4 linked regions of the Stegostoma tigrinum genome follow. The protein of the gene in region 1 purifies or fractionates together with the protein of each later gene. This does not show direct contact. Links are inferred from orthologs where the notes say so. Each region holds a gene or a part of one and is shown on either strand. Other genes may lie near its edges. The genes, in order: eed, phf19, aebp2 and mtf2.

Region 1 (8,246 bases):
CCGTTGCTTTCGACCAATACAAACTTGATGGACCAGGAGGGTTTTCCTCTGAGCTGTAGACCTCTATGACTCTATGATAAAATTCATAAGTAATAATCATACAATGAAACCAAGAAGCAGAGGAATTGCAAAGAGTGCATGCTTTTCACATCTTTCATTGATGAAAAGAATTTGTTAACAAATGCAAGAGCAAAAACAAAAGGAACAAAACCAATGATTCTAAAGTGAAGCCTACTGAAACACAGTATTTTAAACTTCGTGTTCTTCTATATTGCAATGCATATTTGCTAATGTTAAAGCAGTAATATTCTAACAGAGAATCTGTCAAGCCTGTAAAGAACAGAAGTACCACTCAACTCAGCACCATATAACCAAAATCAGCTCTGCACCAAAAGAACAACCAACCAGAGGCAAATTATGCATACACCGCAAACAATGAGAGTTTACTAGTTGAATTCTAGGCTAAGTGTTATATAAATCTGAAAGTGAATATTATTCTAACCAGATGTAATAGGAAATGCAGATGCTGAAGAATCCGAGATAACAAGGTGTAGAGCTGGATGAACACAGCAGGCCAAGCAGCATCACTGGGCCACCAAGGCTGACGTTACGGGCCTAGACCCTTCAGTTTCTTGTTATGTGATTCCTCGGACGGCAGGACTGAACCTGATAAACACCTGTTAATCACACTCCCTCTATAGCGAGGCCATCCATTCAGTGATGGGACTAAAGGCATACACAATACTCCAGCTGTGGTTTTACCAAAGCCCTGTCGAGTTATAGCAAGACATCCCTACTCCTACACCTGAATCCTCTCACTACGAAGGCCAACATATGATTTTCCATCTTCATTATTTGCTGAACATGCATGCTCACATTCTGCAACTGGCACACAAGGACACCCAGATCTCACTGCATCTTACCCACCGTTCCCAATCTATTACCATTCATGAAATAGTTCGCTTCTTGTTTATGCCAAAGTGGATAAACTCACACTTATCCATACTACACCACATCTGCCATCATCTCCCCACTCACTCAACTTGGCTGAATCACACCAAAGCATCTCTGCACTCTCAGTTCATCCTCCCATACAACTTTGTATTATCTGCAACTTGGTGATATTACATTTACTGCCTTCATCTAAATCATTAATATACATTGTGAATAATTGGGGTCCCAGCACTGATATGAGAGATACACTCATAAGTGCCTGCCATTTGGAAACAGACATTTATTCCTACTTATTTCTTCTTTGCCAACCAGATCCCTCTCCATGTCAGTACATACTCCCAGTCCCATGTACTTTAATTTTACATGCTAATATATTACAGACAGCAAGACAACTCAGTGTTTAGTGCTGCTGCCTCAGAGCCAGGACCCGGGTTCAATACCAGCCTTCAGCGACTGTCTAGATGGAGTTTACACATTGTCGCCGCGTCTGTGCAGGTTTCTGCTGTGTGGTCTGGTTTCCTCCCACAGTCCAAAGACAGACATGTTGTTAGGTGAATCAACCATGCTAAATTGCCCTGTAGAATCTAGGACATACAGGCTAGGTGGATTAGCCATGGTAAATACGGGCTTACTGGCATAGGGCAAGGGTAGGATGCTCTTTCGTGGGTGAGTGCAGACTCAATGGGCCAAAATGCCTCTTTCCATACCGTAAAGATTCTATGACCTTACTGAAAGCTTTCTGAAAGTCTAAGTAAACCACATAACACTGGCTCCCCGTTATCAACTCTACAAGTTACATCCTTACATAATTGCAGTAGATTTATCAAGCACAACTTCCCTTTTGTAAATCCACACTGACTGGTTTCTGAATGTTCTGCTATATCATTATAGTGGACTCTAATTAGTATTCCTGAACTATTGAAGTCATGCTGAGAGGTCTATAATTCCCCAATTTCTCGCTACCACTTTTCTTTTAAAAAAGTGTGGTTATATTAGCTACTTTCTAATCCACAGAAACTAATCCACAGTCTATGGAATTCCGAAAGATGACCAATGCATCCACTACGTCTCGGGTCACAACCTTACGAATGCTGTGATGTAGATTACTGTGGCCTAGGATTTATCAGCCTTCAATCTCTTCAATATCCCCAACACCTATTAATAGCGATTTCTGTCAATTGGTCCCTCCTCACTACACCCTGTTTTCCCCAACATTTTTTGGGGGATTATTTTGTATTCTTTGTAATCACAGAATGAAAAAGTGAGAGAGATACTAAGAACTGCAGATGCTAGAATCAGAGATTACAAAGTGTGCAGCTGGACGCACACAGCAGGCCAGGCTGCATCAGAGGAGCAGGAAAGCTAACATTTCTGAAGAAGGGTCCTAACATGAAACGTTAACATTCCTGCTCCTCTGATGCTGCCTGGCCTGCTGTGTGCATCCAGCTCCACATTGTTATCAAAAAGTGGTGTTAAATTGATCCACCATCTCTTGGTTCCCCATTATAACCTCAAGCCTGAGCTTATCGCCACACCTCTAAAAATTAAACCCTTAGGTTTCCCTTAAAAGCAAATAATATTAATTACTCTCAAGCCTTTCTGCTTTGGACATTTGCACCATTACCTTTACAAACTAAAGTCAATATATTATAAACAACGATAAAGAACAGCATAAATATTCATCCAATCAGCTACTTCTTCTTGCCCTCATGTCATTTTTAAACACTCTTCCCAGACAACAACAGAGCAGTGCTGCTGCAGGACACTCCAAATGAGTTAGAGTCAGTGATATAATCCCTCTTCCAGCTGCATTTTAGCTCCAACGAAGAATCACATTGCAATAACCAAATTCATCAACTTCCCACAGCTCAGCAAATTTCCAACTTAGTATGTAGCCATGTCAAAGCGCATGCAGCAAGAAAACCCAAGTTCAACAAGTTGGGCCAAGCTAATTCTGGTTACAATAGTTTGCAGAAACAACATGTTCATAGCAAGTAGGGGCAACTCTAGAAGCCACAACACGTTACCACTAATCAGAATGCAAGGTATATAAAAACTGAGCCTGATACTCAGAGACCTATCTAATAACAACCATTTGTTATTGGGATGTCGGTGCGTCGTCCATTCCAGCTCCCCAGAACCTATGGTGAGTCCGGGTTTAAATCCCGCCCACCCTCCCAAACACTCACCGCCACACCAGGCTAAACCCGGTCACGCTAATCAAGATTGGATGAAAGCCAACACCGTGGCTCCGACGAAAGACTGCCACTCTCCATGTTCTTCCCGCCGCATCGGAGGCTGCTCCTCATCCCTACCGAAGATGAGGATGCAGAGGGGAGCATACAAGAAAATGGTCACAGCTGCAGCGACCTTTCCGTTAACTACACTCACATTTTCATCCCCGGAAACGTCCGGGTTACTGTTCTCATCGCTCAATTTCTGTCTCTTAGTCGGCATGTCCCCTCGCGCCGCACTTTCCGACATTATCCGCAAAGCGGAGCCTGGCGTTGTCACAAAGTCACGTGCGCGCTACCGACTGTCGCAAAACAAAACCCATCCGATTACGTGAACGTCGAGGATGGCCTTTCTTGTTTTCGAATGTTATCCCGACCTTCTGGAAAAGCAATGTTATCTAAGGTTGTTTCAGTTCTGTGAGCAGCACAAAGCTCACGTGATGATGTCGGGTTCTTTGGCCTGTGATAATGGGAACTGCAGATGCTGGAGAATCCAAGATAACAAAGTGTGGAGCTGGATGAACACAGCAGGCCAAGCAGCATCTCAGGAGCACAAAAGCTGACGTTTCGGGCCGAGACCGTTCATCAGAAAAGGGGGATGGGGAGAGGGAACTGGAATAAATAGGGAGAGAGGGGGAGGCGGACCGAAAATGGAGAGAAAACAAGATAGGTAGAGTACAGGTGAAGAGGGGATAGGTCAGTCCAGGGAAGATGGACAGGTCAAGGAGGCGGGATGACGTGGTAGGTAGGAAATGGAGGTGCGGCATGGGGTGGGAGGAAGGGATGGGTGAGAGCAAGAACAGGTTAGGGAAGCAGAGACAGGCTGGGCTGGTTGTGTGATGCAGTGGGGGAAGGGGAAGAACTGGGCTGGTTTTGGGATGCAGTGGGGGAAGGGGAGATTTTGAAGCTTGTGAAGTCCACATTGATACCATTGGGCTGCAGGGTTCCCAAGTGGAATATGAGTTGCTGTACCTTCAACCTTCGGGTGGCATCATTGTGGCACTGCAGGAGGCCCATGATGGACATGTCGCCTGAGGAATGGGAAGGGGAGTTGAAATGGTTCGCGACTGGGAGGTGCAGTTGTTTGTTGCAAACCGAGCTGAGGTGTTCTGCAAAGCGGTCCCCAAGCCTCCGCTTGGTTTCCCCATTGTAGAGGAAGCCACACCGGGTGCAATGGCTACAATATACCACATTGGCAGATGTGCAGGTGAACATCTGCTTGATATGGAAGGGCATCTTGGGGCCTGGGATAGGGGTGAGGGAGGAGGTGTGGGGGCAACTGTAGCACTTCCTGCGGTTGCAGGGGAAGGTGCCGGGTGTGGTGGGGTTGGAGGGGAGTGTGGAGCGGATAAGGGAGTCGCGGAGAGAGCGGTCTCTCCGGAAGGCAGACAAGGGTGGGGATGGAAAAATAGCTTGGGTGGTGGGGTCGGATTGTAAATGGCGGAAATGTCGGAGGATGATGCGTTGTATCCAGAGGTTGGTGGGGTGGTATGTGAGAACGAGGGAGATCCTCTTGGGGCAGTTGTGGCGGGGGCGGGGTGTGAGGGATGTGTTCCGGGAAGTGTGGGAGACGCGGTCAATGGCGTTCTCGACCACAGCGCAGGGAAGGTTGCGGTCCTTGAAGAACGTGGATATCTCTGATGTGCAGGAGTGGAATGCCTCATCCTGGGAGCAGATGCGGTGGAGGCGGAGGAATTGGGAATAGGGGATGGAATTTTTGCAGGAGGGTGGGTGGGAGGAGGCGTATTCTTGGTAGCTGTGGGAGTCAGTGGGCTTGAAATGGACATCAGTTTCTAGCTGGTTACCTGAGATGGAGACTGAGAGGTCCAGGAAGGTGAGGGATTTGTTGGAGATGGCCCAGGTGAACTTGAGGTTGGGGTGGAAGGTGTTGGTAAAGTGGATGAACTGTTCGAGCTCCTCTGGGGAGCAAGAAGCGGCGCCGACACAGTCATCAATGTAACGGAGGAAGAGGTGGGGTTTGGGGCCTCTGTAGGTGCGGAAGAGGGACTGTTCCACGTAACCTACAAACAGGCAGGCATAGCTTGGGCCCATGCGGGTGCCCATGGCCACCGCCTTTGTCTGTAGGAAGTGGGAGGAATCGAAAGAGAAGTTGTTGAGGGTGAGGACGAGTTCAGCTAGGCGGATGAGGGTGTCGGTGGAGGGGGATTGGTCGGGCCTGCGGGACAGGGTTCTTTGGCCTGTTAGTTTCTCAGTCTAAATGTGTGCAATTTGGTTAGGTTCATGGGCTCACCAGGACTGAACTCTTTCATGTTTCAGGTATAATGTCCAGGACTCATTAGACCCCAAAACCTGTTTATCATTTACAAAGCACAAATCAGGAGTGTGATGAAATACATTCTATTTCCATCAGTATGTGCAACAAATCAACCAACGAACTGAAATGACCACATCAGAGCAACAAACCATTCAGATATCAATGAGTGCTATGAATGCTGGCTCACATTATGCCCAATTTTCCACTTTGTGTCTTTTGCTACTTAGTGGATTTTTCACTGAAACTCTTTGGTATTTTAAAACATGCATAAGTGAACTTGGAATATTTTTGGGTGTCAGCTTTGAAGGAAGGAGCTGTCTCTTGTGCAAACCTTTAGTTATATTTTGGAACAAAATTCTTTGTGATGTTGGATTGCGTTAGTATGGAGGTTTCATGATAGCTTCTAAGAAATCTTAACATTCTTTGGGATAAAAATGCTATGTTGCGTTAAGATGATATCCACCTTTCCACCCATTCAATAAAGACTCAATAAAGGAATAAAGTTCAATAGTTCAGAGCTCATAATATGACAGTGTGGAGTTACAATTCAATTTTGAAATTGAAGCACAGACAATTAAAGGTGGACTAGTAATATTCAGAGTGCAGAAAGCAGCTGAAAGCAACCAGGAAACAGCAGTCATAGCTCCAAGACATAATGGCTGCAAATTCCTTTCCCAGTACCAGTCAAAATGAAAAGCTGTGAAGCAGAACTAGCAGTCCTTGCAATGCAATTAATGACCTAGAGCAATGACTATCATTGTTGGGAGTGTAGAGACTATCACTTTTTTCTTTTACTTTTCTCACAGTTTGAAACCGTGACTTGAAGTTAAGAATTGAAATTTGAACAACAGCTCGTTTTAAAAGAGAAAGAATATAGGTAAATGTTTTCTTCTAGGAACTGTCCTGGAAGGACAATGCAACATAATTACTGATCTAAGGTCACTATAGCCAAAGCCACAGTGTGCTGTTATTATGCTCAGGGCTGGCAGCTGGTTGGATGTTGAATTAGCCAATCGAGGGAGAACTTGTTCTGACTGGGTTTTGGCAGGAGACAATATGATTTTTGGAACTTTGGAGGTGTTGCTGGCTTCGCTCTCCCTCTAGTTATTCCCGAGTTTCAGTCCAGTTAGCAAATTGTTGAAGGTTCTGAGAAAAAAATTCCAGTCCATAAGATATGAGTAATACTTCTAGAAGTTGCTGAAACTGGTTGCATTAACCTGTGACTTCAGAATTTAAGCATGATGTATAGTTTTACTTGGCTGAATGATATTGTACAAAAATTTCCTGAAGGCCTAGTATCAATCATTGGAAGCTGTTTATTGAACTGGAAAATTACAAACTTTTTATTTTCTGTTTTAATTTATCCATTAACTGTGTCTGTCTGGCTGTGTGCAAGTAGAGATTATGAGCAAAGAAGATTGGGCTTTAGATTGTAGATATTACATCGATTATCTTGATATTTATCTGTGTTCTACTGAAGTTTCATTATGAATGATAAATTGCCAATTTTATTTAAGTTATAAAATTGGTGTACAAGATCTGTCATTCATAAATTGAGATGCTTATGTTGGGAAAAACATCTGCCTTTCCACCCGATGTTTAATGGTGAGACAATAATGTTGCTAATAATTGTTGAGAGGTAATTTGCATTAATATATCATTGTTACCCAATCTCACCTCATTCCTATATCGGTTGCAATTTTAACATGCAGTGGAGAGAAATTAGACAAATGTCAATTTTTTCTTTTACTTCTAGCCCTTCACCTTGGTTAACTTTCCTAACGCTTCAGGGCACACTCCTTGAACAGTGACTACCTTTTCCATGAAGGTTGGCATGAGCCAATATTCGAGACTAATTGAATATAGTGTTAATCAAGAGGGATGCTTTGTCCTGTATGGCGTCAAATGTCTTGTGTTGTTGGAGCTGCACTCATTTAGGCACACAGAGAATATTTCATCACATTCCTGACTTCTGCCTTATAGATGGGATGCAAGCTTAGGGAGCCAGGAGGTGAATTACTCCCTGCATTATTCCTAGCTTCTGAGCTGTTACTGTAGCTACTATAGTTATTTGGTGAGTTCACTTCATTTTCTGCTCATTGGTAACCCCCAGGATGTTGATAATAGAAGATTCAGTAAAGGTAACACAAAGATGGCTAGCTTGTCATTGTTGCCAGCAGTGATAAATCAAAGTTGTTGCTATTCACACCTAAGCATCTGCCAGCAGCTTATGTGGCTAAGACGCTGAATGTCTTCAACCTCATGACCATATCTCAAAAATGAATCTGTGTTCCTTCATAGTCAAGTGGAACAGCTGTTAATCAAGAGTGCAACCACAACCTGTCAAGGCACTGTCTTTTCTCAGTCCTGGGTTTTGGACATGGTCAGTCAACTGGTTAAGGTCAGGGGTTCCATATCATTACATTCCAGGAGTTGGCCACGGTCAGATCTGCAGTGCCAGGGCGACTAGTCTGGGGACTAGAGGTAAGTTAGTTGGAGAGCAGCACTGAGACCAGCCAGAGGTGTGGTCAGTCATCGGTCCGGACTGTCCTTCAAGGTCCTAGTGGAACCTAAAATGTGCATCTGTGAATAAGTAATTGCTTAGCAAATGCTGCAGGATATCACTGCCTAAAACATCTTTTGCTTGTGATCATATCGCCATTCCTGATATTAAATTGGAGAGGATTGAAGAAATCACAGAATCAGAATTGTTACTGTGCAGAAGGAGGGTATTTGATCCTTCGTGTTTGCATTGACCTTCACAGAGCATTACAACTTGGTAC
Region 2 (8,137 bases), on another chromosome or scaffold:
AGCTTCCTATTTTCCTCAAATGTCCTCAAAATGCAGAACCCAATCCTTGCTGTCCTGCAGCCACGTTTCCATAATGACTACCAGATCACATTTATTTACGCCAATGTGCACCATCAGTTCATTTATTTTGTTATCTGTGCAAAGTCTAGTTTTGATTGTTGGTGTATTTTGTGTATCTGTAGGTTGTTTTTCCACTGCATCTTGCTGGCAAATATTCTCTGACATTAATTTCCCATATTATTGTTTTCTTCTCTTACCTTGCTCTTACTCTTGATACACCATATAATTTGACACTTGATCCTTTGCCCCACTATTTAGTTTAAAACCCTCTCTCTTTCCCTAGTTATGTGGTTCACAAGAACACTAGCCGCAGCATAGCTCAGGTTTTGACCAACTCAATAGAAAAGCCACCACTTTCCCCAGTACTGTTGTCAGTGGTCCATTAACTGGATCTCATTTCTCCCATACCAGTTCTCAAGCCACTTATTCATCTCTCTAATTTTATATACCCTACATCAATGTGCATGCAGTTTAAGCAATAATACAGAAATTATAATCTTTGCATGTGCATGTCCACTGTCACAAGTATCACAAAAGGTTGGACAGCTTTTAAGTAGATGAGAAAAAACTGCATCAATTACAGATTTTGTTGTTTAGTTGCATTTTGCTGATTGTAACAATAATGTTGGCTGCACTATGGCTTCATACTTAATTCCATCCTCAAGCAATGTATCAAATGAATGCCACTTTTCTTACCCAAAATATCCTTCCTAAAGACAATAACTGGTGTGGAAGCAGTCACTAATTCCACATGCCTCTCTCCAGAAAAGTTGTTTTTCTACAGCATCTTCTGACAAACTGGTCAATAGATTCTTGTGGTTGCTGTCTGTGTGACATGAGTTGGAGTCTGTTCTTCCTTAATTTAATTCTCGCCTTCATCTTGGACACCTTTCCATGTCTTTCCTTGATCTTTCTGACCATTGATGGAAACATCACGTGTTAATTCTGCAAAGCTCCTCCTTGCTAATGGCAAGCATGATTTGCAGAGCTCTTCTTGGAATCATCTGTTGCTCAATCTTCAAAATAGAACTGTATACATTGTTTGCATGATTGTATTTCAGTAAAGGTATAATTGGACATGCATTCCATAATTGTTTGCATTTCATTTTCCTTTGGAGGGTTATTGTATTTTATTTAGAAGAAGAGTACAATGCAATGTTTGCTTGTCTCATTTACTGATTTTGTTTCTCTCTCCTTTTTTCTACCTTTTGTGTCACTGTTTTCCTTTATTTTACTTGTTGCTGGTCCTTTATGCATGTTAACTTGAAAAGTACAAGTTTGTAAGTTTGAAGTCACAGGCTTGAGAGTGCTTGTGGTGCAATGGTAGTGTCACTTCTTTTGGAACAGATGATCTGTGTTCAAGTCTCACCTGTCATAACATCCTTGAACAGATTGATTAAAAATACTTCAAATTGCAGATTTCTGATCCTGGGTTGTATTTACACTAATTGGGAATTAAGACATCACTTTTTAAAAAAATTTTGACACTGATTTTTTTTACATTTACAGACACATCAGTCTCTAATCACCATAACATTAAGCTATGAAGCTACACAGCATGCTTCCATTAGTTTATCATGCTTCAAGTGATCTAGGTTAAGATGGAGTATGTGGACTTTATGCCCTTGTCATATGTCATGATACAGTGATGATACCATGAAGGTGTCTTTTGAAGGTATATTAACATATTGTATCCGTTAAAGGTATGCTGACATTCTGACTGTGAAACATAACACAACTGCAATGAGTACAGGGTAGCGTTAAAAACATATTACTATATATCAGCATACTATGTGTGAGAAGATGTACTTAGATGGTTAATTGGGGTTGTTAAAATGGTCCAATCAGGGAATCCTAGCTGACAGACATAAACAAGAGTGTCAGGGGTTCTGTTCACTACAGGAGCCTGCTCTGAGTTAGCTGCGTCAGCGTCATGTAGTATGCACATGTAAATAAAGGGTGACTTGGTGACAGGCCTTCAAGGAGTTATTTCAGATTCAAGCATAGTGCTGAATACACTAACATAGAGAAATTACTGAACATCATGGGTGGATACACCAGCTTAAACATATTGTAATCAAAAATTCAATGACTTGTGTGTCTTCATTTAATATCATACAGTGAAGGAACTCAGCATTTTTTAAAAATAAATTTGCAAATGGTTTGTTTTAAGCTCCATTTTTAAATTATCAATAACAATATCTTGATGGGTGACTGCATCATGCTTGGAATGAAATTTCAAGTAATATTTATTCATGTTTATGGGGTTATTAAAAGGAAGTCTTGAATTGATGTTGTCATTTCTGAACAAGAAATGCTTCTTCATATTTCAAAGTAGTGTCAGTTCAGAAAATAGTGTCTTTCTATGTAATCTTCAGAAAACTTTGCATTGTAACATCAAAGTTCATTCCATCATCATGTAGCTGCAATATTTTACTGATTCGAAGGTTGCTAAATAGAAAGTCTAGTTTTACTATAATATTTCAACTACAGGGCCTGGACTAAGTAAGTGTTAAACAAGTAAGCAGTGAAATGTCGATCTTTATTAGAGTCATACAGTCATTCAGCACAGAAACAGACCATTCAGTCCAACTCATCCATGCTGACCAACTTTCCCAAATCAGACTAGTCCCACTTAACCGTGTTTGGCCCATATTATTGTGAAAATCATTAATATCTCAAACATCATTTTTATGCATTTACTTACATTTTGAAAGCCTGTGTATAAAATTGAGCCTCACCTTCAATATTTCCTGCCTTCCTGTTAGCTTTGAATAATATCAATAAATAAAATGTAATTTTCATTTTACATGAAATTAAAAAACATAATTCCACAGGATGATAGTCTTTTCAAAAGATTACTTAAATGTAGAAAATATAAAATAGTGCATATTTATCAGAATAACAGACATAGTGCACGATTAAGCTGTTCAGTCTGTTTAGTTTTTGATGGCTCTCTGGAAGAATTATCCAGACAGACAAGAACAAACACCCCAGAGAAGAATATCTTCTTCCCTGCTGTTATCAGATTTTTGAATGGGCCTCTCATATATTCAGTTGATCTTTCCCTGCACTTTCTCTCTAGCTGTAACAATATATTCTGCATTCTGTTCTATTATTCTGCTGTACTTATGCATGATCTGATTTGCCTGGATGGCATGCAAAACAATACATTTCACTGTGTCTCAGTATGTGACAATGCGAAAATCAAATCAAATCAAGACTTTACCTGCAAAATCTTTACAATTCAACAATGTGCTCAGTTATCCTTAGTAATTTCCTACAGAAACTGAGTCTTTCTCCACTTTTTGAGGTAATTTCCAGAATATAAAACCCAATCTGAAAATCACTCCCATTTCCACTCTACTTCTTCTGCCAAATCTTTTAAATCTATGATCTATGGCTACTGATCCACTTACCAACAGAAATAGGCTTTTCCTGCTTGCTCCAATTTCAGAGTCATAGAGTTGTAAAGCACAGAAACAGACACTTTGGTCCAACACATACGCGCTGCTCAGATATCCCAAACTAAACTAGTTCCATTTGTCAGCATTTGGCCCATATCTCTCGAAATTCTTCCTATTCATATACTCATCTAGATGCCTTTCTTCTTCTGGAATCTCCTTCTGTATATGCACCACCCTCTGCATGAGAAAGTTGCCCCTCAGGTCCCTTTCAAATTTTTCCCATTTCACCTCAAACCTATCTTATGGATTTTCTTTCCTAGGTCTTCCCTTCTGTCGTATAAGGAGAATAGTCACAGCTTTTGCAATCTCTCTATTGAACTGAAAAACCCTATGCCTAGTATATTTTCTCCATACCCTCTTCCAGATTTAACGTCCAACCTAAGTAATGGCGTGTAAAATTGCATATAAATGTCCAGCTGAGGCCTAACCATTCTGTATTCTGTTCTATTACCCTGAAGTACTTTTGTAAAGTATGATTAGTCTGGTTAGCATGCAAAACAATACTTTTCACTGTATTGGTAAGTGACAAGAACAAACAAAATCAAACCAGTGATTTGAAAGTGTCCATAGGTAAGTGGATCAGTTGCCACATATTGTAGATTTAAAAGAATCAGCTAAAGAAACAGAGTGGAAATGGGAATTATTTTTCAGATTGGGGGTTATAATTTGGAACACACTTGGTGAAATGGATAAAGACTCAGTTTCTGTAGGAAATTACAAAGGATAACCATACACATCCTTGAATTTTGATTTGACTTTCTCATTGCGTACACAATGTCACTATTTATAAAGTAAATTTCTAGTATGCTTTCTTAACCATCTTATCAAATATGGTCAAAGATTTGTTAAAATGTATGTTGATATCCTACCGAACTGAGTAATAACTCAAAGTAATACCATTCAAACCATACAAGGTTCATTCCAAAGTGCATCATGAAGTGCACGTGCATGTTGAATCATGAAGTCGCATTTATCGGGGCATTTACGTAAAATGAACCCTGATTTTTTTTCTTCCTCGTAAAATACATACTGCGCCCAGTGTTTGGGCTGGGACCCGTTGTCACACGAACACCGCGTGAAGCATCGCGTCGATCGTGAAGGTGTTAGAGATGATGCCACATTCCAGCCGTTTTCTAGACGTCGTTCAGAATGCAAATACATCAAGAACAAAGGTGAAGATCCCTCTCCCCAAAGCGTACATACGAGCCTCATGAATTGCTACTGATATGTAATTGCATATTTATAATCTAGAAGTTGGTCCCTTCTGTCCGACAGTAAGTTCATGTGAAATGTCATCTCTGCACAGTTGGGATTTGTGGGTGAGGTTGCGGGTCGGTGAAGTTGCTTCTTGTGGGTTGGGATTTGCACTGGGCGGTGCTGAGGATGCGTGTTGCCCGGAGCCCGCACACACTCATCGCTTCAACTTCCTTATGATGATGATGATGATGATGTGTTAATCACATAAGCACACGAAAATAAATCGCGGGAAAGAGAAAAAATGGCGGCTGATGAGGCAGGGAGCTGTGAGTGTGATTGCACTTCGTGTCTGTGCCCCCCAGCAGCACCGGCGACCCCGCTTGACTGATTGCTCTGGGAAAGGACTTCTGTCGATCCAAGGGGAAAGCGTCACTTTCATCAGAAAGACTGCAGTGGAGTGGAAACGTGTGCGTCTGTGTGAGAGAGAGAGACAGAAAGGGTAAGGTTGGAGCTGGAGCAGGTTTGTCCTGCCACAGGAGAGAGAGAGAGAAGGCGGGGAAGCAGTTTGAAAAATGCACAAAAGTGTTTTGCTGTTTGATGTGAAGTTAACTGTGATTCGGATCAAAGTGTTCGGAGATTTGGAATGCAGTCTGAAGTATTCTTTTTAGCAATTAACTGACTTGCTGAAACTCTGAAACTCCAGCCGATTTTCCCCCGAATGTAAACTATCGCTCGATGATGATTTGAAGAGATGCATTTGAAATTCCATGCAAAAAATATAAAACATAGTTTTGCTCGATGACGCAAACAGTGTCAGCATGCGAATTAAAATTGATCATTTAGAAACCTTCCGAAGTATTTATCGGTTCAGGAGCCTTCCGTTCCCGCATCTGGATTTTATTTTTTTGATTTTTCAATAAAAAAATTAATGCTATTGCTAAATGTATATTGATGAACGCACTTTTGTATATTTTTCAAATTTGCACAAAACTGTTGCCTGACAAGCGGCCATGTTTGACATGTAACTCTTGTAGCTCTGGAATTAGCTCTGCACAAGTTGCATTTTATTTGCGATTTTATCTTTTGAATTTTTTTTGGCTTAACGTTTCCGACCAATTCGGACTGAATTAGAGCAGGATCTGATTAAGTGTTCTCAGATAGTGTCAAGGTTGGTTTTGGGTGGAAAGTACATTTTTTATGTATGAGCTCGGTCCTTTCTTAGCTGTGAGTGAGATAAAATTTGCGAAAAGGAAGTAACGGCGCTTCTGTCAATGTCAGGGACACAGAGAGGCCGCCAGTGACCGATCCGGCTCTGATTGACATTGAGTTGAACCACTCACAATCTCGAGAACGGCCACTGTAAACTTTGGGCCAATCAGAACCTTCAGGGGCGTGACTGGAGGTTGCGTTCTGTGTAACGTCATTGGCTGCTGCGATCCAAGGGGGCGGGTGTTTATTGGCGCGCTTTGACTTTCTCAGGAAGTGCTTGGTGTCGAGACAATCATTAATATAGGAGCAGATGACAAGCTTACTCACCTCGGTTGACATTAGCTTCACTACTGTCTGATCTGCCCTCAACAGGTGAAATCAAACTTTCAGCACGTGAAATAGTCAACAGATAACCACTTTGAAGTAACCCAACTGGACAATTGCTGTAACAAAAACAGAAATTGCTGGAAAAATTCAACTGAAGTTCTGAAGGGTCTCTGGATTCGAAACATTAATTCTGCTTTCTTTCCATAGATGCTGCCAGATCTGCTGTATTTCTCCAGCAATTTCTGTTTTTGTTTGAGATCTTCAGCATCTGCATATTTTGGTTTTATTTTAGTGCGTAAGTGCTGTATTTGAAACATTGGCAAGAATGAATGAATGACTGTGATGAATCAACAGCATTCTATCTTAGTATGAAATTGTTACTTAAAATGTATATTTTTTGGTAAAATTAAGAAGTGTAATTAATCTCAAGAATAACTGAATTCTAATATGTTTAAAATGTAACCATGATGGGGGGGGGTCACCATGGTGGCACAGCCGCACTGCAGCCTCTCAGTGCCCGGGACCCAGGTTCGACGTCAGCCTTGGGTGACTGGCTATACCGACTTTCAGCCTTCTTCCCATATCTGTATGAGTTTCTGCTGGGTGCTCTGGTTTCCTCCCAAAGTCTAACAATATGCAGGTTAGCATATCCAGGCAAGGTGGATTAACCATGGTTAGGGTAGGGGTGTGGGTCTGGAATGGGATGCATTTTGGAGAGTTGACACAGACTTCATGGATCAAAAGATCTCTATCTGCACTGTAGGGATTCCATGAGTCTATAGAAAGTAGGAGCAGGAGTAGGCCATTCAGCCCTCCGAGCCTGCGTTCAGTATGATCGTAACTGATCGTTCAAATCAGTACTAAGATAATAAAATGTGAGGCTGGACGAACACAGCAGGCCAAGCAGCATCTCAGGAGCACTGAGATGCTGCTTGGCCTGCTGTGTTCGTCCAGCCTCACATTTTATTATCTTGGAATCTCCAGCATCTGCAGTTCCCATTATCTCTCGTTCAAATCAGTACTTGCTTTTTCCCAAATCCTTTCATCTCTTTCTCTCTGAGAACTACATCTAACTCTTTCTTGAAAATATCTAAGGAGTTTATAGAATCCTAGAATGACTTTAATACAGAAGGAGACCATTCAGCCTGTCAAAATAGTGCTGGGTCTCTGCAAGAACAATTTAGTTGGTTCCAATGCCCCCATTCTTTCCCTGTGGTCTTGTTACTTCTTTCCTGTTCAGGAACTTATCTGATTCTCTTTTGAAAGCCACAATTGAATCAACATTTTTAGACAGTGCATTTCATATTCTGAACACTTGCTACATCTAAAACAAACGTAATTTTGTGTTTGGTCCTTTTGACAGTCATCTTAAATCTGTATTCTCTGGCTTTCAATGTTTCTGACAACGGGAACAGTTTTTCTTGAGCTACTCTGCTCAGACTGCTCATGATTTTAAATATCACTTTATATCTCCTGTCAAGCCTTTTTAAGGAGACCAACCCCAGCTTCTCCATTCTACATAACTGAATTTGTTCAACTAAAACCAATCTTCTAAATAGTTTCTGCACCCTCGCTAAAACATTTATAGCCTTCCTACTGAGTACCTTGATACCAGCAGCACCTTCATAAAGAGTTATGTTGCTAAGTAAGAGTTGCTCATAGAGGAATACAGCATAGAAACAGACCCTTCAGTTCAAACCCATGCCAACCAGATATTTTAAATAAATCTAGTCCCATTTGCCTGCATTTGGCCCATATCCCTCCAAGCTGTTTCTATTCATGTGCCCATCCAGATCCTTGTAAACGTTTGTAATTGTACCAGCCTCCACTACTTCCTCTGGTAGCTCATTCTGTACATGCACTGCTTTCTGTGTAGA
Region 3 (8,237 bases), on another chromosome or scaffold:
CTATAAGGTCACCCCTCAGTCTCCTTTATTACCAAATAAAGTCCGAGCCTATTCAGCCCCTCCCTATAACTGAAACCCTCCAGTCCCAGCACCATCCTTGTAAATCTTTTCTGCACCCTCTCAAGTTTAAGAATATCTTTTCAACAGAAGGGTGACCAGAATTGCACACAATATTCTAAAGGTGACCTCACCAACATCTTGTACAGCCACAACATAATATCCGAACTCCTATAATCCATGTTCTGACCAATGAAGGCAAGCATACCAAACACCTGTTCACCTCTGACTCCACTTTTAAAGAACCACACACCTGCACCCCTAGGTCTCTTTGTTCGGTAAGGGGCCCTAGTCTTGAGAGAACTTCAAAAAGCATCAGCTCAACTCTTCAGGTTTAAATTCTGTTTACCTCTGTTCAACGCATTTATATTTTCTTGTAATCTAAGGATTTCCTTCTCAGCATTTAACACACCATCAATTCTCACATCTTTTCTATCACGTATCTCTGAAACTTTAATTCATATTTGTGATCAAGTCAAGAGCTGCATTTCTGTAATTTGCTCCTTATTGGTCTTCCCATATCTGGCAACTACTGCAGCTGCCTGAACACTGCAACCTCTGCTCTACTAATACAATGACCCTGTTGTTACCATCTCCATCATCTCTGGTCGTCAAGATTGTTTCTTTCACCTTCATGGCCTCAACTTCCTCTACACTATGTGTTATTTCATTCAGTGGCTGCTGCTTAAATACTGGAGTGCAATGAGTACATTTCAAAAGTACAGAAATTGCTGAAGAATCTCAACAAATCTGGCAGCAACCGTGGAGAAAAAGCAGTAACCCTTCTCAAAATGAGTATATTTATTGGCTACAAAGCTCTCTGGGGATATCTGGGGTCATGCAGGATGCTATATAAATGACTTTTTTTTCTTTTATTTCTTATTCCCCAATACTTCTCCAAATGTCAGTGAACTCACCTTATTGTTTATGTCAGTGTTCTTGACAGGGTCTCACTTCATTGCCAGTTCACCATATCGCTCCCTCGTGTCGCAGCCATTATTTTTCCCGTCAACATATAAAACAAATTATAAAGACCATAAGACATAGGAGTGAAAGTAAGGCCATTTTGGCCCATCAAGTCCACTCCGCCATTTAAATCATGGCTGATGGGCATTTCAACTCCACTTCCCTGCACTCTCCCCGTAGCCCTTCATTCCTTCTAAGATCAAGAATTTGTCGATCTCTGCCTTGAAGGCATCCAACATCCCGTCCTCCACTGCACTTCTTGGCAATGAATTCCCCAAGCCCACCACTCTCTGGCTGAAGAAATGTCATCTCATTTCAGTTTTAAATTTACCCCCTCTAATTCTAAGGCGGTGCCCACAGGTCCTAGTCTCCCCGCCTAACGGAGACAGCTTCCTAGCGTCCACCCCTTCTAAGCCATACATTATCTTGTAAGTTTCTATTAGATCTCCCCTCAACCTTCTAAACTCTAATGAGTACAATCCCAGGATCCTTAGCCGTTCATCATACGTTAAACCTATCATTCCAGGGATCATCCGTGTGAATCTCCACTGGACACGTTCCAGGGCTAGTATGTCCTTTCTGAGGTGTGGGGCCCAAAATTGGACCCAGGTCTTTATCACATTGCTGTTTGAGGCTGCCATGTGCACATTTGCTGTTGCACTTCCTACACTACAACAATCACACTTTACAAAAACATCCTTCATTGGCTGCAAAGTGCTTTGAATTGTGCGGTGGTCAGGAAAAGTGCCATAAATTGGAAATGTAAGTCTTTTCTTTAAATCTTGCTTGTTCCTCTTCAGCAGCATCCACTTTCTAAGGGATTTTGAAACGTCAGTGTAATTAGACTGGACTCTGTGCTCGAGACAGGATCTGACCAAAGCCCTCAGTGGTAACAAGGTTATTTGTTCCAGTTCTGATGAAAAGTGACAGAGCTGAAAAAGTTAAGTTTATTTCTCTATCGACAGCCTGACTTGCTGGATATTTCCAATAATTTTTTTTGATTTCAGATTTTTAACATCCACAGTGCAAGTATTTTTCTTTTTCAATCTCAGCCAATCCATCTTCATTCAGCATAGTACTTACAATTTCATAGCTCGGAAGAAGGGTCACTGCTTTTTCTCCACAGTTGCTGCCAGATTTGTTGAGATTCTTCAGCAATTTCTGTTTTTGTTTCAGATTTATATTTAAAACTGCTTGAAGGCACTGGGTTCACTAATTCACTGTGCTGGCAGAATAAATACAAAATTTAATCTGATCAGCACTTTCAGTTTAATTTTTTTTTCAATATAATTTCCATTCAGTTAATTGTCCTACCCTGATTACTTTTTAAGAGACCAAAAAGTGCAGATAGTGAACGTATAAAACTGTTTCAATAGCATCTCTGCAAAAAAAAAAAGGTTAATATTTTAGGTTTGTAAAATTATATCTTCGATCTTCTGATGGAATAAATCCAGACAGTAAAGGAAGCTATAAAGAGGACATTAGGAGGTCCACAAAGGAATCTAAGTAGGTTGAGGGTCAGCAAGATCTGGTGAATAAAGTACAATGTGGGAATACATGAATTTTTTGCATTTTGGTAAGATAAGAATGGTGAGAGACTGCAGAACCCTGGGATGCAGAGGGCTCTGGGTGTCCTCATGCATGAATCACAATATTAGTATGCAGGCACAGCAAGTAAAAATTAAGAAAGCTGATAGAATTGTAAATTTATTGCAAAGAAAATTGGATGCAAAATTTGCAAGGGTACACTTCTGTTATATAAGACAGTGAGACTGCATTTGCAGTATTATGCACAGTATCAGTCAGCTTATTTCAAGGAAGGATGTAAGTGCATTAGAAGCACTTAAGAGAAGGTTTACCCAAAATGTCTTATCAGGAAAGGTTGGACAGGCTACATTTGTATCTAAGATAACAATGTGTAGAGCTAGATGAACACAGCAGGTCAAGCAGCATCAGAGGAGCAGGAAGGCTGACATTTCAGGCCTAGGCTCCTTGTATCTAGAGTTTAGAACAACATAATATCCGAACTCCTATAATCCATGTTCTGACCAATGAAGGCAAGCATGCCAAACACCTTTTCACCTCTGACTCCACTTTTAAAGAACCACACACCTGCACCCCTAGGTCTCTTTATTCGGTAAGGGCCCCAAGTCTTGAGAGAACTTCAAAAAGCATCAGCTCAACTCTTCAGGTTTAAATTCTGTTCAAGCCACTAAGAGACAACTTGATCGAAACATGCAAGATCCCGAATGAGGGTTCTTGTGGTGCAATGGTGGCGTCCTTGTTTCTGACCCAAGTGTCTGGATTCAAATCTCATCTGCTTCAGAAGTGAGTAATCATACCTTTGAACCGAAAATATCTATAAAACCCTGAAGAGTTTTCAGAATGGATGTGGATAGGATATTTCTTCTTACAGAACTGGAGGTTACTGTTTAAAAATAAGGCATTTTCCATTTATAACACAGATGAGGCACAATGTTTTTCATCCCCTCCTCCAAGGGTGGAGTCTGTTTGAACCTTCCTGAAAAGTTGTGGGAACAGTGTCCTTGAATACATTTAAGGCAGAGGTGCATTGATTCTTGTTAAATGAAGAGGGTGAAAGTTTATCAGGGCTAGGTGGAAATTTGGGTTTGAGGTTACCATCAGATGCACAATGACCTTGTTGAATGGCAGAGCAGGCTTGAGAGACTACATCACCTACTCTAGGTCCTTGTTGGAATGAAACATCAAATATAACAATGACCAGAATTTATTTCTTCTAATGTTAGTTGCACAGACAAGCAAGAGACCAGACCATTGGCACTGTACCTGGAAGGGATACAACACAGATATGTGCACACATAGACATATAGTGTTTAAACTTTAACTGACACACACGAAGGGAATGTTTGAAAAATTCAACAGGCCTATTAACATCTATGGAGACAGAAACAAAGTTGACATTTCCAGTCTAGTAAGATTCTTCTTCAGACAGCTTAAACTTTAGCTGTTTTCCAAACACTGCAGAGCTCTTCCCAACTTGCCGATGTTCATAGTTCTGTTTTTCTATACAGAAAAACAAAAATCAAGGACTGTGGATGCTGGAAATCAGAAACAGAAACTGAAATTTCTGGAAAGACTCAGCAGGTCTAGTACTATCTGTGGAGAGAAAACAAAGTGAACGTGAACAACCCCCAAGGCTTGGTGAATTTTGCTTCACGTTGATGGCAACAGCCGACATCGAAGGAGCAAAACGCCACTTCTGCCGCGACAAGCCAGTCAATCATCGCTGTGGTAACTTTCTGACACCTGCTGCTGAAAACCCAAGAGGTCAGAAGGGTCTGGAGGCTGTGCTTTCACGGCCTGCATTCGGACTGAAAACGATCATTAGGTTAGCTTCTGCGCCATGGGACGTTTCTGTCACTTATTAGCTCGCCTTAAGACACCTGCGCGACGGTGTGACACTCTACCTTCACTCCATAGACCTCTGAGATTTTGCAGCAATTTCTATTCGTACCCACAATTTGGATATTGCAGTTGTAGCCCACACACAGTAAACACCTCCCACCTCATCCCTGCGAATCCACGAGCGGCACAAACGGTCGACTACCGCCCCGCCCATAATCATCACGCAGGCGCGCTGTTGCCTGTTTGCCCCATCCCCACGCGCGCACTGCGCAGGCGCATAGAGTCAGATTCGCACCCACCCCGTCGCTCACGGCCCCGCCCCCTCCTACTGAGCAGGCGCGCTGGTGGCACGTGACCGTCCGGGCTGGAGCCGCGCGGGGGAAATGGCCGCAGCCGCCGCTCCGTCCCTCAGCGCCATCGCTAACGACACTCAGAGTCAGGTGGCGGTGGTGGCAGCAGGGGGGACTGGTAAGAGCTGCCGCTCGGAAGCCAAGTGCGGCGGTGTTGGTAACGCCGGCATTGGTAGTAGCCGTTCCCAGGCCGTTTTGAGGCAGCAACAGCAACAACAACTCCGGCAGCGGCGGGACGAGGAGGAGAGTGAGCCCGAGGCTGGCGGCCCGCAAGCTTCAGGCTCCCCAAGTGGACACAGGGCCACGGGGGCTTCCAACTCCGGGCCGTCCCGCAACCTTCCTCAACAGCAGCAACAAGCGGCCAAAAGCTGCACCGGGGCCCTCAGGTGCGGCCAGCAGCAACAACGGGGCCGGGAGGAGGCGGCGGCCGCTGTGGCAGCTGGTAACAGGAGGCAGAGTCTGGAGAACTCGTCAGACGGGGAACCACTGAGCCGCATGGACTCAGAGGACAGGTGAGGGAGCGGGGGTTAGGCACTCTCCGGTCTTACCCCGGGGCTCAAGCTTCTCAGACGAAGCTGCAGTGGAGACCTTTCTTCTCTTATCTACCGTCTCCCTTCCAGCCGTCGGGCGATTCAGACTCTTCCCCACCCCCTCGCTCTTGCCCTTCTGCTGTCCCGTACTCTGCTGAAAGAACCGAAATAGCTGTCCCCGATTCAAAAGCGTTCCTTTTTTTGTCTCCCCAGCTCTTGAATTCAATTGCCGAAAAGTATTCGTTCTTTCAAACTAATGCCCTTTTGTCGGAAAGGGTACTTGTAGGTTTTGTTGTTGGGGGAGAGTATAAAATAAAATAGAAAACATACTCTTAGCCCTGCTTTTTATCGGAGTTTTTGGGGTAGCGGAGGTGGTGGCGGCAGTGTTCTGTGAAATTTACACGACGCCTTCTCGGGAGTTTTGAGGTGTTCTCATCTTTGTTATGAGATGGCGCTTTCCGAGTTAAAAAAAAAACACCTGGAAAAGCCCAACTCTGTGTAACCGTAACCTCAGTTGACTTGGTCATACCGATGACTTTTAATGTCGGCCATTCAGTAAGCAAAAGATTAGTCATAGTCCAGAATAAATCATACGTGCCCTCATTGTGTTTGTTTCAAATCCCCACGCAGATGTGATTTATGCATCGGCCTTTTAAGCTACAGCTTTTGCCGTAACATCGTGTCAGGTTCGTAGAAATGCAAAGCAGTGATTACTAGCGATACGTTTGTCTTTTAATAGGGCAGATCTCGCCTTTAAAATAGTGTTTTCGCGCAGCTGACACTTTGGATCCGAGTTACTGATATTCAGCGTCGCGTTTTAAATATGAAAAGTTGACTCTGTCAGCTTCGCTCATTTGGTAAACTTGGATCTGACTCAAGGTCGTGGGCTCAAACCCCACACCAGTAATTAAGCATGTAATCTAAGGTGACACATCAGTGGGAAAGCTGTATTGTCAAAACTGATCGCATTCAGATGATGTGAATTAAGGCATAAAAGATCTGGAACTCTGAAGAGGAGTGACTTCACCCAGTTTCTAAGCAATGATCCCTCCTTCCTCTGATAACCGCATGAGCTCATAAACAAATTAAAAACTAATTTGATGAATAGTTAATCTACATATGAGCGTTTCAAATTAATCTGACCGTGAAGTACTTGGGGATGTCCTGAGAAGGTTGGTGCCGTCCAGGGGAATGTTCAGATGAATTAAACTGATTTCAAAGCTGTTGGTTGTCCTTGGAACTTGATAAAGCATTAGTATCAATTCTGTTCATAAATCGTTGTAACTTGATCCAAAGTAAGAGCAGATCATTCTTGTTACGGCACAATGTAAGTAAAACGTAATTGTAGATTGTAATTTCTGTGGTGTAGGTAAATGTACAAAGTTGTGCTTTTGCCATCTTATGAGCAAAAATTGACCATTCTGGGAGGAACTTAATGACTTCTTTCAGGCTGACAGACTGATATCATAAATTTTGAAATATATTTAAATTATTGCATTGTTATATAAGCAGATATATATTTTGTTTCCAGATCTCTCATGGTAGGAGTAATTCTTCAGATTTGTTTGCATTTTAAAGGCTGATTGCAATAAAATTAAACTGTCCAAAATTACCAGTAGTGATTAGTTTACGTTGTTGCAATCAAAAATCAAGCTACAATCGATTTAATATTAGTAAAGAAGTCAGTGAATTTATCAGGTGACAGATGACAAAATGTGTATTTAGCAGCACTGTTTATTCATGGCAATTTGTGGTATAGTTGTATGTATTTTGAAATAAATTATATTAGGTATATTTTCATGTTACTTGTTGATCTTGTACATCACGCTGCTGAATCTCTACAACTGCCTAAACAGGTAAAATGCTGTTCGAGAGAATTTTTACACCAGCATTTATGTCTTGGTTTAATTTGAATGTGACATGAGCTTTGAAATAAAAAGAACAAGCTCTTGCTCAAATTGGATAATTTTCAAAAGCTCTTTTTAATGTTCAAAGATATTCTTTGAAGTCAGAATTATATACAAGACTTAGATTTGCAGACAGCTTTAGAATTGAGGAATTGGTGTGATATTTACCCCAGAGCCTTGTGTGCAACTATAGTTTAGTAATATGTTCAACGGTATTGTGTACATTTAATGTTCCCTTTGTTTCTCAGTGCTTTGTGGCTGCTACTTGTTACTGTACTTTGACTAACTAAAGGTGAGGTAACCACTATTAGTCATGTTGATGTGACCAAACACTACTTGGTGTCACTTTTGCTCAGCATAATTATATGGCTTCCAAGTGGATGTGTGTGAAAGAGAACAGTTGTACTTTGGAACAGGACAGTCATGTGCAGCTTTGAGTTCCCAATGTTTCCCAGTCTCTTGTCTGTTTTTGGAGGTGGAAATAATCATATTCTAAGGTTTGTGATAGGGTTTTGATGGGCATACAGGTAACTGCTCAGGCCCAGCATACAACCAGACAATTCTCTTGCCAATAATCCAAGACACTTGAGTTTTAGAAGAATGGCTGGCTTGGCATTTTCCTTTCTTTACATCTAAAACGTCTGAAGGTGCAGAATTTGTAAATCCATCCATTAAACTTGTAAAATGTCACATAATATACAGTGTTTCAGTTCGACCTTGAAAACACATTTCATTTTTGGTTGCAGAAATACACATCCTCGGGAGAGTACAGATGTACAGTGGTTGCCACAAGCCACCACTGAGAAAACAAGTGGGAAAAGACAATATACTTGGCCTATTCAGTTTTAAAAGTAAACAAGAGTAAATACTAAAACAATGTGAAGTATGCTGTTACAGAAAATCTCACATTTGAAATTGAGAAACAAATTTAGACCTCCTTTGACCACATTTTCATCCAATAATGAACATACAGAATAGATTTTGAATAGTGATGGATGCAAGACGATTTGTTTAATTGATGGTTCAAAGCCCCATGGTTT
Region 4 (8,069 bases), on another chromosome or scaffold:
TTTACCTTTAATTAAAATTAGAAGGAGCTTCAGGTTTTCTGTCTTGCAGAATTGTGTAGGTTAATACTAAACTAGATTTCTATCACAATACTCTCCATTGCGCTCTTAGAAGACAAAAAAGTGCATTATTTCAATGCTGACATCCTCATTTTTGTACCACAATTCTTTTCAAACTAGCCTAGCATTTCTCCTTTATTAGGTTCATTAGGCATCAGGTACGGAAAGGACATCTCATATCCTCTCCAAAGGCTTAGGAATGGAATAATGGAACACTGTTTAGTGGTTGCAATCAAGATCAAAACCAAAAAAAAACAGAATGGCACAATTTAAAAAACATTTCTAGTTGTAATTACCCACCCTTGAGTGACAATTAACTGTTTGGAACAACAGCTGTTTTACAAAACAGGGGCACAACCACTGATACTATTTACATCATCATGTAAATAAAGCAGGATAGTCAACACCTTCCGATCTAATCTTTGGGTAAATTTTCTTCTCTTGCACAAATACAGTGTTTCAATATTTTGAACTTTAGGATCCAAATAACTGAAATACACCTTTTCTTTATTAGGAGCATTAGATGAAAGAAGGCAAATCAATTTTCTATCAGGGACAGTCTTTGAACCAAACACCCAAGCATCCAGGAAGATCAAAACACTGCAGCTGATAGAAGAAACAGCAACGGGGAATAGGTAAGCTAAGAAAGCAGAAAGGACAACTGGCATCATAAAGAATAACCAAGTACAGAAACAGCACGCTGGATGATGGTACACAATCACAGATCACAATAAGGAGACCAAGGAGCGTGTCAGCTGAATCCAACGGATAGAGTAGAGAACAAGCAACTAACAAACTTTTGTACGTGTTTAGGGTGGAGGTATTTCTTGTGCTCAAATTCTCTCATGTCTGGCCACATTTTGTAAATGCTCAACAAGACTTGTCTACTCGGTGTCGCCAGCTGAATTCCTGTAACGGCTGAAACATTTCTCCGATAATTATTGAAAAGTTTAACACAAAAGTAAATAATATTGTTGGATTTAGCATTTACCCACTGTCCTGCTCAATGCAGGAATAATTTCTTTTACATGACTAACTTATGAGTGCTCCACATTAATCAACAATGCTTCAAAATGGCGTGCTCCCTGCTTTTGCCAAGCTTAAGCATAGTTATTCACCTTTATGACAGTTCCAAGGTAAAATAAGCCATCTGACCACCTGGCTAGGACATCCTGGCCTTCCTCAAACTTGCATACAGGTTTTTTTCCTTTTGATCCATCCTGCAATGACAATCGAACAGAGGACACTGGTGTCTTCTGGTTTCGACGGGAGGGAGATCGCTTGTGGAGAGATGAGTTACCTGCTCCCGTAGTGTCTTTGTCCATCAGGAAAATAGCATCATCAACTGAAATTTAAAGTTCAAAATGAGCCATTCCAGAACAACTCATTTCTGTATTATTTGCCACTGTAAATTACTGATGGTCTGCACAAAGTTACCATATGTCTGATACAACAGTTGCTAAATTTGATCACACTGGGGCCTTTTGAAATTAGCTTAAACGTAACACCCTACAAAGAGTTAAAGTCTTACCAAAAAAAAAACACCCCACCCCAACTGGCTCAACTTATCTCAAGTTACCAATGCCGTACAGATCACAAATTCCATTTCTCAGTCTACGCTCGAGTAGCTAAATCAATTATGCACTACGGAATTAGTACACCAATCAATTTCCCAAATTAGGAAGGGAAATTGTTCTGATTTGTTACATCCATCTAACTTTGCATCTTTTGCAGAAAGAATCAACTGTACCTCCTCATCAAATGATTTAATGGCCTTTCAACACTTGGTACATAAGTTCATTGATAAATATTTGATCAAACAAACAAGGTGAGTTCCAGACGCAAATGACCCAAGAAAAAACACTCCTCCTCAATCTTCCCTTTAAATTTCTACCTATTAACTTCATCCATGCTCCCTAGTTATTGAGCCCTCTACCGACAGAAAAAAGTGCCTTCCTAACCACCCTTCCCATGCCCTTCAGTCTAATACATAACTCTATCATACATCTTTTCAATCTTCTTTACAACTCCAATCTATTCAATTTTTTTTTTGCTCAGATATTCCAACCCAGGCAACGTCTTGGTAAACCTCCTCTGCAGTGCAATCACATCCTTCCTATGTTAGTGACGAGAATTGTATGCAGTACTCCAGTTGTGATCCAGACAGAGCCTTGTACAGTCCCAGCATAATCGCCACACCTCACATTCTGTGGTTCAGCTAATAAGGACAAGAATCTCAGTTGTCGTCTTAAACACATCACCTACCAGTTCAATCTTTAAGGATTACGGATATGCACATCAAGGCCCCTCCAACCTTCAGTACATTCCCGGATCCCATTATTCATAATGTAACCCGTTGACTTGTCGGTCCCCACTAAGTGCATTTCTTTGTTGATTCAATTTGCCACTGCTCTGTCCACCTGACAATTGTTAGTGTCCTCTAGCAGTTTATGGCCATCTTCATCATTATTTACCACCATCAACCGTCATGTCACCCAAAAATGTCTTGATCACACCTCCTGTATCTACGCCCAAATCACTAACTCCTCCCCAGGAGGAGTTCTGCAGAACCTTGATGGAATGACTTCCAATCACAGAAATATCCCTGAACCATCACTCTCTACTTCCTGCCTCTCAGCCAGTGTTAGATCCGTTGTAACACTTTCCCTTAGATCCCACAGGCTCTGTCTTTTGGTTTTAACTAGTCTGATATGAGGGACCTTATCAAAAACCTTGCTGAAATTCCTGCTAATCATATCAAATGTAGCACCTTAAATCGATACTCCAGACCTCTTCAAAAAAATTAAAATTTGTCAATCATGACATTACCTTAGAAAATCCAATTAATCAGACAAAGACAAAGTCTCTCCAAGTGCAGCAATATTTCATACTCCTACTGCTAATAACACCCTAACCTCCAAATGGGATCTGATTTTCTCAACTATGACTCCCACTTTTTTAATAACAGACAATGTGAAAAGACCTCTAATTCTCGAACATCTCACCTGCCATCAGAAAAGAAATTTCAAAATTCTGCCAGGGCTGCCAGTGTCTCCTTTGCTGCCTCCTTCAAAAGGCGAGGAAACATCCCATCCAGGCTTGCAGTTTTATGTACTTAAGACAAATATTTATTAGCAGGTATTTAAAACCTGCTAGTTTACATACAACAATACAGCGCAGAACAGGCCCTTCGGCCCTCAATGTTGCGTCGACATCCTTCCTCTCGCAAGGAGTCCAAAATCGATTGCAGTATTCCGAAAGCAGCTGAACCAACATCCTATATTGGCTGCTAAGTGATCTCCCAACTCCTATACTCAATGCACTGACCGATAAAGGTGAGCACACCAAATGTCTCCTTCATATCCTTTCTACCGGTGGCTGTACTTTGATGGAACTACGAAACTGCACTCCAGCGTCTCTTTATTAAGCAACACTCCCCACAACCTTAAAACCTGCTAGTACTTCCTCTTTCTTTTGATATTAATTTCTCCTAATATTTCACAGTCCCCAACCCGGATATCTATACTGTGTTGTCCTTTTCCACCGTGAAGACTGACAAAATCTTCAGGACTGTGTCCGTGTCTACACAGATTACGCCCAGGGTCCTTCTGGGACCCCTCTTTCCCTGGTTTTCTCTTCGTACGTATACATTTTAAAAACACATTTTGATTTTACTCTACTCACTAATACTTTCTCCTACATTGTCTTTGGTTTCCTAATTTCCTGTTTCGTCTCAACTGCACTTTTCATACTTCTCAAGGGACTTTCCCCTATTGAGCCTTTGATATCTGCCAAAGGCTTTTGATTCTTAATCCCAGCCTTAAATGTCCTCCAGGCTTGGTCTTGCCCTTTGTCTTTACGGTTAACAATCTGCCCTGCACACTAATTTTTTCCTTAAATGCCACTCACTGCTCTGACAGTTTAATTTGCAAGACCAAAAGAAAAAGCAACAAAAGTAGGCCATTCAGCCCCTCAAGTCTGCTCTGTCATTCAAAACAATCATGGCAAATTTGACAGTACTCACACCCACTTTCCTGCCATTCCCCATAACCTTTGATTCTTCTACTGAACAAGAAACTCTCTCAGCATTAAATATACACAAAGACTTTGCCCCCAAACAGCTCTCTGTGGCAAGGAGTTCCAAAGATTCACAACTATTTGACAGAAAAAATTCCTCATCTCAGTTTTAAATTGGCACCTCTTAATTCTGAGACAATGCACTCTGGTCTCCCATGACAAGAAACATCCTTCCAGAACTTCCTGCCAAACCCCTTTGGAATGTGTTTCAATGAAATCACCTTCCATTCTTATAAATTCCAACGAGTAGAGTCCCAACCATTTTAACCTTTACTTCTAAGGCAATCCGCCCATGCCACAGATCAACCTAATGATACTTCTCTAACTGTCCCCAACAAAATATGTCTTCCCTTAAATAAGTGAATTGAAATTGCTCACAGTACTCTAGACGTGGTCTCACCAGTACCTTGTACATTCACAGAAAGAATTCCCTACTTAGATAGTCCAACCCCCTTGAAGTAAGGGCCAACATTCTATTGGCCTTCCTGATTACAGGCTGCACCTGTGCGCCAGCTTTGTGCTTCATGCACAAGGGTCCTCAAGTCCCTTTGTGCTGCAGCTTTTTCCCTTTAATATCCTGGTCTTTTGTTCTCCCTTCCAAAATGAGCCATTTTACACTTTTCCACATTGTACTATTTCGCCAACATTTTCCCCACTTATCTGTATCTCTCTAAACTGTTTATGTTCTCTCACAACCTGACCTTCCACCTATTTTGAGAGCATTACAAATCCGGCTATATTACATTTGCTTCCTCCATTCAAATCATTAATATATATTGCAAAAATGTTGCAGCCCCAACACTGGTACCCATGGAATTCCACTGGTCACAGGTCACCAACGTGAAAAAGAATCTGTTATCTCCACTCACTATTTCCTACCCATTAGCCAATTCTCTATCCATGTCAATATCCTACACACAACACCATAAGCTCTTATCTTACGACTTATTCTTTTGTGAGGTTTCTTGTTGAATGCCCTCTGGAAGTCCAAATAAAATACACTTAAGTTTCCTCTGTTCACTCTCCTGGAGACTTCCTTGAAAACTCTAATTTAGTCAGACACAATCTCCCCCACATAAAGTCAGGTTGATTCTGCTTGATTAAATTATGTTTTTCCAAGTGTTCTGTTTCGTCCTTAAATGATCTACTTCAACAATATATATTAGGCTAATCAGCCTAGTTATCCACTTTTGCTTCCCTTCCTTTTTGAATAGGGGTATCACTGACAGTTTTGCAATCATCTGGTACTTAGCTAGAATCAAAAGCCTTTGGACAATTATAGACAATGCACCCACTATCGCTGTAGCTACCATTTTTAGGATGCAAGTCAATCAGACTAGGGAACATTAGACCTGGACCATCTCCAACACATCCCTCACCTTCCTGGACCTCTCTGTCTCCATCCCAGGCAAGCACCTAGAAACCAATATCCATTTCAAGCCCACCGACTCCCACAACTACTTAGAATACACCTCCTCCCACCCAACTTCCTGCAAAAATTCCATCCCTTATTCCTAATTCCTTCGCCTCCACCACAGCTCCCAGGATGAGGCATTCCACTCCTGTACATCTCAGATGTCCTCATTCTTCAAGGACCCCAACCACACGCGCCCCCCCCCCCGCCCCGCAGTGGTCGAGAATGCCCTCGACCATGTCTTCCACATTTCCCACAACTCATCCCTCACACCCTGTCCCTGCAATAACCACCAAAAGACAATCCCCCTCGTCCTCACACCACCCTACCAACCTCCGGAACAACCACATCATCCTCTGATACTTCCGCCATCTACAATCCAACCCCACCACCCAAGACATTTTTCCATCCCCACCCTTGTCTGCTTTCCGGAGGGACCACTCTCTCCGTGACTCCCTTGTTCGCTCCACACTCCCCTCCAACCCCACCACACCCGGCACTTTCCCGTGCAACCAAAAGAAGTGCTACATTTTCCCCCACACCTCCAACCTCACCTCCATCCCAGGCCCCAACATGACTTTCCACATCAAGCAGATGTTCACCTGCACGTGCCAATGTGGTATACTGCATCCACTGTACCCGTTGTGGCTTCCTCTACATTGGGGAAACCAAGCAGAGGCTTGGGGGACCGCTCTGCAGAACACCTACACTCAGATTGCAATAAAAAACTGCACCCCCCAGTCCAGAACCATTTCAACTCCCCCTCCCATTCCTCAGACGACATATCCATCCTGGGCCTCCCGCAGTGCCACAACAATGCCACCCGAAGGTTGCAGGAACAGCAACTCTTTCCAATTGGGAACCCTGCAGCCCAATAGTATCAATGTGCATTTCACTAGCTTCACAATCTACCCTCCCCCACTGCATCCCCAAAACCAGCCCAGCTCGTCCCCGCCTCCCTAACCTGTTCTTCCTCTCACCTATCCCCTCCTCCCACCTCAGGCCACACCTTCATTTCCTACCTACGAACCTCATCCCGCCCCCTTGACCTGTCTGTCCTCCCCGGACTGACGTATCCCCTCCCTACCTGACGACCTATACTGTCCTCTCCACCTATCTTGGATCCACCTCCCTCCCTCTCCATTTATTTCAGAACTCTCTCCCCATCCCCCTTTTCTGATGAAGGGTCAAGGCCCGAAACGTCTGCTTTCGTGCTCCTAAGATGCTGCTTGGCCTGCTGTGCTCACCCAGCTCCACACTTTGTTATCTTAGCCCCAATTAGTGTGTTTAATACTACTTCTCTAGTGATGAATTTAATCCTGTCATTCCTGTTAATCTTCCCAACTAGTTCACTTTTGATTATTCTATCCTCACTTCATTTTAATTCCACTTATGCTAAACATAGTTGTTTCTGACTCAAGTTTCTCATTTTTGAGCTGAAAATTGAAATCTGTCATGATCACTAATTACCAGGATCTTTTCCTCAGGAGGTCATTTATTAAACCTGCCTCATTACTTATTACCAGATCCAAGATAGCCAGTTCCCTGGTTTGCTCCATGACATATTGCTCTGAGAAAGTATCCCTGGTGCACTCCCTGAATTCGTTGCCATAACATGAAGATTAAAGCTACAAATAATTATTGCTCTCTTTTTATATGCTCTTGTTCTTTATTGGTTTACAGCCTTTCCTACAGTGACTACTGTTTGGGTGTCTGTACACTAACTCTCAATGTCATATTTTCTTTGGCTTTTCCCTCCGCTGAAACAAACTTATCTTCATCCAAGACAAATCATCTCTCAGCTGTCCTCATTTTATCTCTTTTTTTTAAAACACTGCTAACTGACCATTTTTTCCATCCATCCTGTCTTTCCAAAAGGCAAAATATCCCTGAATATTAAGGTCTTGATTTTGATGGCCATTATGGAAACATGAGTTACAAGGATATGAGATCATACAATTTGCACTAAATGCTTCATGCACCATGGAAACACATGGGCAGTCACACATTCTGGCTCACCCTTTTATTTTATGGTAATAATCAACCCCATCACTAACCTACAATTCTGCCTGCTCCTCCATATTTGATTTTATAATTTTTTCATGCTACTGAACCCACATGCCTACTTTTTTAAGTTTAAAGCCCCACCCATAGCCCTGGTTATGCAATTCGCCCGGATTCTGGTCCCAGCATGGTGCCTATTCCATCAGAACAGCCCCTTCCTTCCCCAGAATACTGCCAATATCCCATTAATTCAAACATTTTCCCCACATTAATCTTTGAGCCACGCATTTACCTCTAATCTTTTTTGACCCTATACAAATAAGCTCGTGGGTCAGGCAACAATCCTGAAATTACTACCTTGTTCACAATACATTTTAGCTTTTCCCCCTAGCCCCAGCAGAACCTCCTTCTTTCTATGAATATCGTTGGTACCTATGCAACAACTGGATATTTGCACTCCCATTCCAAGTTCCTCTGCAGCCTAGATAAGATATCCTGAACCCAGGCACCTGGCAAA

Evidence for each region.
Region 2: the proteins of eed (region 1) and phf19 purify together in Homo sapiens (affinity purification with mass spectrometry; 8 studies listed by BioGRID and IntAct, counting the BioPlex papers as one, with this or other methods). This does not show direct contact. The link is inferred for Stegostoma tigrinum from reciprocal best matches to the Homo sapiens genes EED and PHF19.
Region 3: the proteins of eed (region 1) and aebp2 purify together in Homo sapiens (affinity purification with mass spectrometry; 6 studies listed by BioGRID and IntAct, counting the BioPlex papers as one, with this or other methods). This does not show direct contact. The link is inferred for Stegostoma tigrinum from reciprocal best matches to the Homo sapiens genes EED and AEBP2.
Region 4: the proteins of eed (region 1) and mtf2 purify together in Homo sapiens (affinity purification with mass spectrometry; 3 studies listed by BioGRID and IntAct, with this or other methods). This does not show direct contact. The link is inferred for Stegostoma tigrinum from reciprocal best matches to the Homo sapiens genes EED and MTF2.

What each region holds. Positions count from the first base shown.
Region 1 is NC_081359.1:53,541,218-53,549,463, forward strand, and holds the start of eed (polycomb protein eed), read right to left. Parts: upstream 3,542-8,246; 5' UTR 3,439-3,541; coding exon 3,346-3,438; intron 1-3,345. UniProt on the Homo sapiens protein: Polycomb group (PcG) protein. Component of the PRC2/EED-EZH2 complex, which methylates 'Lys-9' and 'Lys-27' of histone H3, leading to transcriptional repression of the affected target gene.
Region 2 is NC_081382.1:31,455,364-31,463,500, reverse strand, and holds the start of phf19 (PHD finger protein 19), read left to right. Parts: upstream 1-4,989; 5' UTR 4,990-5,223; intron 5,224-8,137.
Region 3 is NC_081378.1:44,624,409-44,632,645, forward strand, and holds the start of aebp2 (zinc finger protein AEBP2), read left to right. Parts: upstream 1-4,764; 5' UTR 4,765-4,793; coding exon 4,794-5,272; intron 5,273-8,237. UniProt on the Homo sapiens protein: Acts as an accessory subunit for the core Polycomb repressive complex 2 (PRC2), which mediates histone H3K27 (H3K27me3) trimethylation on chromatin leading to transcriptional repression of the affected target gene.
Region 4 is NC_081361.1:85,903,856-85,911,924, forward strand, and holds the start of mtf2 (metal-response element-binding transcription factor 2), read right to left. Parts: upstream 3,431-8,069; 5' UTR 3,070-3,430; coding exon 3,063-3,069; intron 1,403-3,062; coding exon 1,176-1,402; intron 872-1,175; exon of another isoform or gene 572-871; intron 6-571; coding exon 1-5. UniProt on the Homo sapiens protein: Polycomb group (PcG) protein that specifically binds histone H3 trimethylated at 'Lys-36' (H3K36me3) and recruits the PRC2 complex, thus enhancing PRC2 H3K27me3 methylation activity.